Daphnia pulex: one gene and its partner. Each later gene encodes a partner of the first gene's protein in a complex. Links are inferred from orthologs where the notes say so. Each region holds a gene or a part of one and is shown on either strand. Other genes may lie near its edges.

Region 1 (3,964 bases):
GGACTAGTGACGGTGCCAACAGTTTCATGGGCCGTTTCATTGTCCTTTTCACGCTGCCACTCTGTTTTCAAATCCTCCAGAAGTTTAGGTGTCAGCAAACCTTCAGACAACAGGCGATCGGCTATCCTTCCATGAGATGATACGGAGTTCACGATATTGACTGCATTGTCTGAAAAAAAAAAAAAAACATGAAGGGAAAGATGCGTTAACCCAAATGAATGGAAAGTGAAATGGTTCTTGACAGAAATTCTTACGGAAATAGGGAGTTTTCTTAGCACTCGGAACATGTTGGTTTTCTTCAGCCTCGACCGCTTGACTCGTTCCACTGCTTACTCCGGTTTCCGAGTTTATTAATAGTCTAGTAAGCTGCGCCACACCTGTTTGAATTAAACAGTCAAGTTCCTTTTGCATATCTCGAACCAGAGAAGCGTCCGGAAACAAATCCTATTAAATGAATTAAGGTTGTTGTGTTTTAAATTCTTCCTATTTAAAAATTAATTCAATGTATGACATGCTTACCTGGAAGCGATAACTTAACCAAAGGTATAAATCGAGCACATCAAATACAGATTCAAGGTGAACTAATTCGAGCAACGTGTTGGGGCAAGAAAAAGGCAAGCCAATTTGCCGTCCCAACCAATCTGGTAAAAATTTGGGCATAAATAACAGCGGTTGTGTAATATAAATAATATAGTGTTGTTACCGAAGGAAAGGACTTCGTTCCTGCTGTACTGACGTGCAAACTTCAAAAACATGGAACAGACGAAAGGTATTTTCCTATTGATAGGAGCACAGCAAAATACATACCGAGCTCGCAAAGGTAGAGGAACGTGCTGAATCATGTCAGCCAAAAACTTGAAATCGTTAATGTTGCATATGAAATAAAGAGAATCGTCAAGTGTTGATAAATTGACGAATATATCAATCAAGTTCGATAGGTTAGCATGGGGCAAATGATAGGCATAGAGTTCGATTTGTTCGGCTGTTGGATGTAAACCAACTTGATTGATTGGCTCTGGATGTTGGGATAGAAGTCGTTTGAGTGTTGGCAAATCTTCATTTTTTAGAGTTGTTACATAGCCAGTCGAAAACTGGGTTCCATACCGGCCAGCTCTTCCGGCAATTTGCAAAGCCTGCGAAGTGCTTATAGTGTCCATTTCTTTCTCCCCTTTTTCATTTGTCGTAGGTTTGATGAGAGAATTAAATATAACGCGGCCAATATTCAGATTCAATCCCATGCCAATAGCATCAGTAGCAACCAGAACTTTACAGGGGTGATCGGGATCATTGAACTTCTTGGCTTGCGCTAATTTTGTTCCAGGTGGTAGTGATCCATAAATCACTGCGCATTCAATGCCCATAGCTTCAATTTGTCTCATAGACCAGAATATGTCTTGCTTGTTGAAACAAACTAAACAGTCTCCCGGCCTAATCTTATCTAAGGTTCCCAGAGAAGCATCTTCGATAATTAGCTCCGTAAGACGTTTATATCGACGCATCTCGATTTCTTCGCTGGCACTCATGAGAATTTCTTTTACAACATCAATTGCGGCGGCTTCACCACAAACGTGCACCTCTTCAGCAACTACACCCAATAATGCTCTTGTCCATGCCCAACCGCGACTAGGGTCCTTTAACATCTGAATTTCATCAATAACAGCAACCTATGAAAATTCAAGATTTCACCAACAATGTCAGAAATCACACGGTTAAATTGATAATTTAATTATATTGAAAAATTGTACATACTTCATATGGAGTGTTCACTGAGACCATTTCAACAGTGCAGGATACATGGGAAGAAGGAGATTTATCAGTAGCATTAGCAAAATTTCTTTCTTCTCCAGTTACTAAATCACATGGGACACCACGCTGATTACTTTTGTAATACACTTCAGATGCCAAAAGTTTTAAGGGACCACAATAAACTCCTGATTTTGAATTAAAAAACCTTTCAAGAGCATGATATGTTTTCCCACTATTTGTTGGGCCAGAATGAAATACAATTTTGCGTGTCAAAGCTCTTGCTTCAGGGTACCTAAACATATCAAAGAACCAAAATGAAATAAATCTTTACATAATCACATTTATCTAAATTTTACCAATTTGCAGGAAGTCGAAGATCAGAAATTTTTTTCAAATCATCAAGGCATTCTAAATGAGGAAAAGCTTGTTTTGCATGCCGAATAAAGTATGGTAACAAACTATCTAAATGACAAGCTCCTGCTATGATATCACTTAGGGTGACATGTAAATCAACTGGCAACTTGTCATCTTCAAGACAAAATTTTCTGAAACTGAGGTATGTCTGATGATATATGTAATCTGCAAATAATGCTTTTGTTTAGTTTTCATCACACAGAAAGATTAGTGACATAATAAACACATACTGTCAATTCCATTTTCCACAGCTGCAGCTTTAATTTCTCTTCGTTGATAGAATTTCGCTAACCATTTCATTATTTCTTCTTTGTTGAGTTTTCCAGTTAATTCAGCACCCACATTTGAACTATCTGGCACAGATTTGACAGGTAAAGGGACCATAAGTTGTGACACTGGAGGCATGGTCTTTTTTTGTCTTATTAGAATCCTGCAATAGTTAAAATTTGAAACATAAACACTGTGTTTCACAAGATACTTTATTAGGCCAGGCACAAGCATGTTGATTGATGATTTCTATTATAGTAATTGGACTTTAAGGTAGACACACTGTAGGCACTATATTTCATACATGGTGAGTTGGGAAAACCACATGGCCCTGCTGTATGTGGTTCCGGTAACTATGGGAACGCCGTACGTTAGCAGACGAAATTGCTACACGGCCATCTCTCCTGCACCGATAAACCCCGCCTAGTCACGTGATGGTTGCTTGTCTCTGATTGTTGCCTTTGTCGGTCCCTTTCTTTTTACTCCGCGTTTAGGGCAGGCTCCAAACAGAGTATAGGCCTAGTCGATTATTTGACACTCCCATAAAGACAGAGTAAATACGGAAATAGAATCCGGAAAGATCTATCCTGTGCAAAATCGCAAGACGATTCAAACGACACGAAGGGCACACGAAGTCCATATTTTTATCTTCTTTATTTAATACCGAGATAACCGGGATCCGGGATTGCAAATCGTGAAACATCACGAAAACACAAAGTCTCTCAAGGGCTCGTAAAAAGAATTATCGATAGGAAATGTAGCTTTTTCATCAAATCATTAAAATAAATCATTTTTCACCGTAAATGAAAAAGTCTAAGCTGATTTCAAACTTCGAATGTCTATTATATGAATATATAGAGAATATAATAGACTTTTTTTTCCTTTTTTGTATTTGAGGCATCGCGAACACAAAAAATCAAAGGAATGATCAATTAAGTTTAGTCTTATATTGAAAATAGGCCGGTTTTAGGCTTCCATATCTGGCTATCCAGATTCACTGAGAAAACGAAGACAGCAGAGACAGAAAACAGAACCTTGTTTAATTCATTTAAATAAATTTTGTGAAGTCAAAATCAACTTCGACCAAGTCTCCAGTGCCCCCGCCCTAGCGCCCCCGAAGAGTCCATTTATTTAGTCGTGCGCATTTACCATTTGGTTTGATAAAAACACGCGTCACACATTTAGCAACATTTAGTAGCTCTGCAATTTCCTATTCTTGATTCTTTTGCATAAGTCCGATGTTTCAACAGATAACCGACACAGGCACGCTGCTTTTATCCCCGGTTATTTCGTGACCGTTCGTGACCAATCCCGTTTATATTGATCCCACGAAAAATTTTGGAGAATTTTCCTTTACATAACAATTCCTTTACGCGTGCAGACTACTTTGGCTACAATTGACACACAAGTTTATGTTCCAGCAAGCCTAAGTGACATTTGTTTCTGATTTTCAAGCTCGTTGAATCAAAGAGAAATTGGTGAGATTAACAAACAAAGGTGAGTTTTATATGTGCATTTCAAAACTGGAGATCATTTT
Region 2 (4,175 bases), on another chromosome or scaffold:
GCAACCGACTGAAGGACTTTACGCGACAACCGCATCCTGCCGCTAACTGGATCCCGGCCGAAATATTTAATAGAGATTTCATCTCCTACCTGAAGTCCTAGGGCAGATGGGTGGGCTACTTTCCGTACGTCCAGCTGTGAATTGTGAAGGAGTGTAGGAACCATTTTGGGGTAGAAGGTCACCAGCACACCAGTTTCCTTCATCTCGACGATACGCGCTTTGTAGATGGCGCCAAATTCTAGTTCCGGCTCTTTTTCTTCCTTCAGAAATTGTTCAATCATTTCCTTGGCTTCGTCCATCGCTGATTGATTGGGTGCGAAGATGGAAAACGTCAAGTCATCGATAGAGGTAATCTGTCAGACAAGAGAGAACAGTTGAATTATTGGAAAATTAGGAAAAAAGGAACGTGATAAAACGGGGTTTATACCTGAACTCCTGTTTCAGCAGTTAATTTCTTGAGGTTTGAACCACCAATACCGACAAATTTAGGTCGTTTGTGAGCTTCAATTTCCAGTTTTTCGGAGAGTGGCCAGATATCTTTCTTGTCATTACGCGGCTGTTTGATTGTCTGAGCCATTATGTCGAGTATGTGCGACTTGGCATCGCTAGCCTGAACCACCGACTCCATGATTATCTTTAAAGGTACACCAGGTAGTTTAAAATCTGCTTGGAGAGCCGTGATGCCTTTTTTGGTTCCGGCTAATTTGAAATCCATGTCTCCCAAATAGTCTTCAATGCCCTGTTGAAAATAAAAATTGAGATGATCAAGTTGAATTTGAAAAAGTTAATTCAAATAAAAATTTACCAGAAGATCGGTGAGAATGCGATAGTCGTCAATCTGTTTAGTTTCCGGGTTTACTCGACTGACCAAACCAACCGCTACTCCCGCTGCCGGCTGCAAAATTGGAACTCCAGCGTCCATCAGAGCCAGAGAACCTCCACAAACCGAGGCCATTGACGAAGAACCTGAAAAATTCACAGGTTAATATTCAAAAAAAGGCTTCGGAAATTTTTTATCAGCTTAAATAAATTTTCAAAACTGACCATTGGACTCTAAGACTTCAGAAGTCAAACGGATGGTAAACGGATAGTCGCTGGGCACCACAGGTCTGAGACCTTTCTCAGCTAAAGCTCCGTGGCCAAGCTCACGACGACCGGCGCTACCACCTGATCCGACTCTTCCTGTTTCGTTGGTTGCATAAGGCGGGAATTCGTAATGGAGGAAGAAATTCTTGGCTTTCAATCCACTGAAAACCAAAGAACATTACGAATGCAATCAAGTCATGAAATGTTGAATAGTACAAGAAAATGCCTACCCCATAAGAATGGAGACTGGATCGGATTTTAAGGCTGATTCCGGTGAATCGAAGGCTACAGTGCAAACGACTTGAGTTTGACCACGTTGGAAGATGGCGGATCCGTGTAGTGGTTTATACAAGTCAACACCACAAGAAATGTTACGAATGTCAGTCAACTTCCTCCCGTCACACCTTGAAAAACAGAGTAGAATATTAAAATTGAATCTTAATTTTATTGTTTTTAACCATTAATAAAAAAACCGACCTGATTTCTTCATCTAGAATAAGCTGTCGAAAGAATTCCTTGAAAAATTTATTAAAGGATTCGCTGATAATCATTGGATCCGTATCAGGAAAGCTGGTTCTTAGTTTTTCCATGACATCGTTTCGTACGGTGGCAACTGCAACGTCACGCGAAATCTTGTCGTGATTAAAATCGCGCAGAATGACCCGCAATCGATTTTCGCTCAATAGTTTGACGGCAGATAGCAACTCCTCCGAGCCAGACGGCAAGACGGTAAACTCCCGTTTGGGTTTCCCGGCATCTTTCCGCAATTTTTCGATTGCCTTGGCGATAGTTTGACATTCTTTCACTCCCGTTCTGATGGCTTTCAAAAAGTCTTGCTGGTACACATTTTCGGCTGAAGCTTCCAGCATGACGACCAAATTTGGGGAAGTGGAACTGACGACCAAGTTTAACTGACTGTGGGCCAACTCTCTTCTTGTGGGATTGATAACCACTTCATTGTCAATGAGACCCACACGAACTGCTGCCACAGGACCGTTCCAAGGAATGTCTGAGATGGCAAGTGCAGCAGAGGCAGCATTGATACTCAGCACTTCTGGATCGTTGACTCCATCGACAGATAGCAAGTTGCACACAACCTGAGTTTCATAGAAGTACCCTAAACAGAAATATTCACTTTAGTCTCGTCTGAAGGTGCACACCCAAATACATGATTAATACAAACCATCTGGGAAGAGTGGTCTAAGGGATCGGTCAATCATGCGACTAGTCAGAATCTCTCTTTCGGATGTCCCAAGTTCTCTCCTCAAGAAATTGGTGGGTATTCTGCCTGCTGCAGCGGCTTTCTGTCTGTAGTCAACGGTAAGAGGCAGGAATGAAGCTGGTGAGCTTTTGGCTTTACTCACAGCCGTAACCAATACGGCAGTATCTCCAAAGGATGCCACGGCGCTTCCATCGGCGAATCGAGCATATTTCCCCGATTGAAATACCAGTTTTTTCCTGTCAAAATCAATAGATATGAATGTAATAGTGGCTGGAACTTTCCTCTCGCAGCACTGAATGCTGTCCACAATTAAACATACCCTGAAGATAAAGGTACACTGACAGTGGATTCACATCTTTTGATGTAACTGGCACATATTCTACCGAAACGAACGCCGGAATATTGATTTACAAAAAGATTTTGTGAATAGAGCCGGCTCCTACTCACGTGGACAGCCATTTTCAACAGACGAAAACATTTTTCAAAACGAATACGGGCCGATAACAAAGACCTTTCTCACCCGACTTTTGATTTTTCCAAAAAAACGGATTTAAATCCTATTCATTTCCACATTAAATCATTATCGTGTAATACGCAGATATAAATAACGGTTATTCTATTTTTTTTTCTTTCTTTTTTAACTGCTGTCATAAATCTTAAAAAGTTGGAACGATTATAGCGTCGAAAGGATCAAGCCCCGAATGGTTCTCTCTCTCCCGAATTATAATCGCGTAACGACTTGGCCTAGCTGCTGATCGTTTCTTTCTCGACTGCTCCTTCCCTGTAATATCATTAATCTAGCCTTCGGTACAAGGAGTTGCCTGCCAACAGCAGCAGATCCTTCCAAAGTTGGATTTCTTCTTCTTCTTCTTGTTCCCCAAGTTTCTTTTGTTTTAATTCAAAACTTGAGCGGATATAATCGCCAGACACACAGCACACACCCCTCAGAAATTAAAGTGTACTCTCCAGAAAACTGAAGAGAATGACCTTTTCAAAAAAAAAGAAAAGAAAAACAAAAAAAAGATTCCCATGAAAACACTCGGGGACATGCTTATTATATAGTGAAAAGCAAAAGTCCAGCTCGAGTAAAGCCCTTTCCTTCCGTCCGGCTTTATTATAGCGGGAGGCTATTTTATACGTATACATCTCCGTATATATAATTTATGGAAACCGACGTCTGAGATGCTGTCCCTACTCTGAATATAATCCCGACTACAGGCAAAATAAAAATACGAATAATAATAATGAAAAAATAAAAGCAAAAAGAGAAAAATCATATTCTTCTTTTTTTTTGTTTTTGTTTTAAGAAAATAATGATTTTTGTCTGTAAGAAGGAGGAAACCCATTAACTGTCTGTTTGGCTTATGAAACAAGTCGTCACCCCCTTGACGTGTCAAAGATGGCGCTGGGCCACGAGAAACTTGAAAACAAAACCTGTATACTCTCTCTACACTCTGTTTTTAATATTATTCTTTTCTGGGGGGTTTTAGTTGTCTTTAAAAAATAAAATTAAAATTGTTTTCTTATCAAGACTAGTAGTATGCACTTACGACATTGGCTCTCGGCCTTTGGCTATCCATCAGGAGTGACCTAGCCCCCGTCCGGCCTTTTTGTATTCCATCAATCTTTTCGGATTCTTTTATTTTAATTCGTCTGAATCTCTTGGCCGAATGCAAATGCGCCTCAGTGTGTGTAGTACCAGCAACCAGCCAGTCACGTCCACCAGTACAATATTTGTTCGAATCATCCGATAGAGCCTTTTTTTTTTTATTTAGACAGTGCGCGACATGGCCAGCACAGCAGCAAACATGGCTTTTATATGGCGTCGCGTGCTGCTCCTTTCCGTCCTTGTGGGCTCCCAGTCGTC

What was found. Proteins that work in one complex are often made in the same cells at the same time.
Region 2: ATP-dependent RNA helicase SUV3 homolog, mitochondrial-like (region 1) and polyribonucleotide nucleotidyltransferase 1, mitochondrial-like share a complex: the UniProt entries of both Homo sapiens proteins name them as parts of the mitochondrial degradosome (mtEXO) complex. The link is inferred for Daphnia pulex from reciprocal best matches to the Homo sapiens genes SUPV3L1 and PNPT1.

What each region holds. Positions count from the first base shown.
Region 1 is NC_060020.1:9,000,074-9,004,037, reverse strand, and holds the start of ATP-dependent RNA helicase SUV3 homolog, mitochondrial-like, read right to left. Parts: upstream 2,801-3,964; 5' UTR 2,662-2,800; coding exon 2,391-2,661; intron 2,326-2,390; coding exon 2,103-2,325; intron 2,039-2,102; coding exon 1,750-2,038; intron 1,665-1,749; coding exon 704-1,664; intron 642-703; coding exon 520-641; intron 445-519; coding exon 255-444; intron 170-254; coding exon 1-169. UniProt on the Homo sapiens protein: Major helicase player in mitochondrial RNA metabolism. Component of the mitochondrial degradosome (mtEXO) complex, that degrades 3' overhang double-stranded RNA with a 3'-to-5' directionality in an ATP-dependent manner.
Region 2 is NC_060027.1:3,573,348-3,577,522, reverse strand, and holds the start of polyribonucleotide nucleotidyltransferase 1, mitochondrial-like, read right to left. Parts: upstream 2,801-4,175; 5' UTR 2,768-2,800; coding exon 2,628-2,767; intron 2,545-2,627; coding exon 2,270-2,544; intron 2,204-2,269; coding exon 1,564-2,203; intron 1,491-1,563; coding exon 1,317-1,490; intron 1,248-1,316; coding exon 1,045-1,247; intron 967-1,044; coding exon 806-966; intron 740-805; coding exon 428-739; intron 354-427; coding exon 1-353. UniProt on the Homo sapiens protein: RNA-binding protein implicated in numerous RNA metabolic processes. Catalyzes the phosphorolysis of single-stranded polyribonucleotides processively in the 3'-to-5' direction. Mitochondrial intermembrane factor with RNA-processing exoribonulease activity.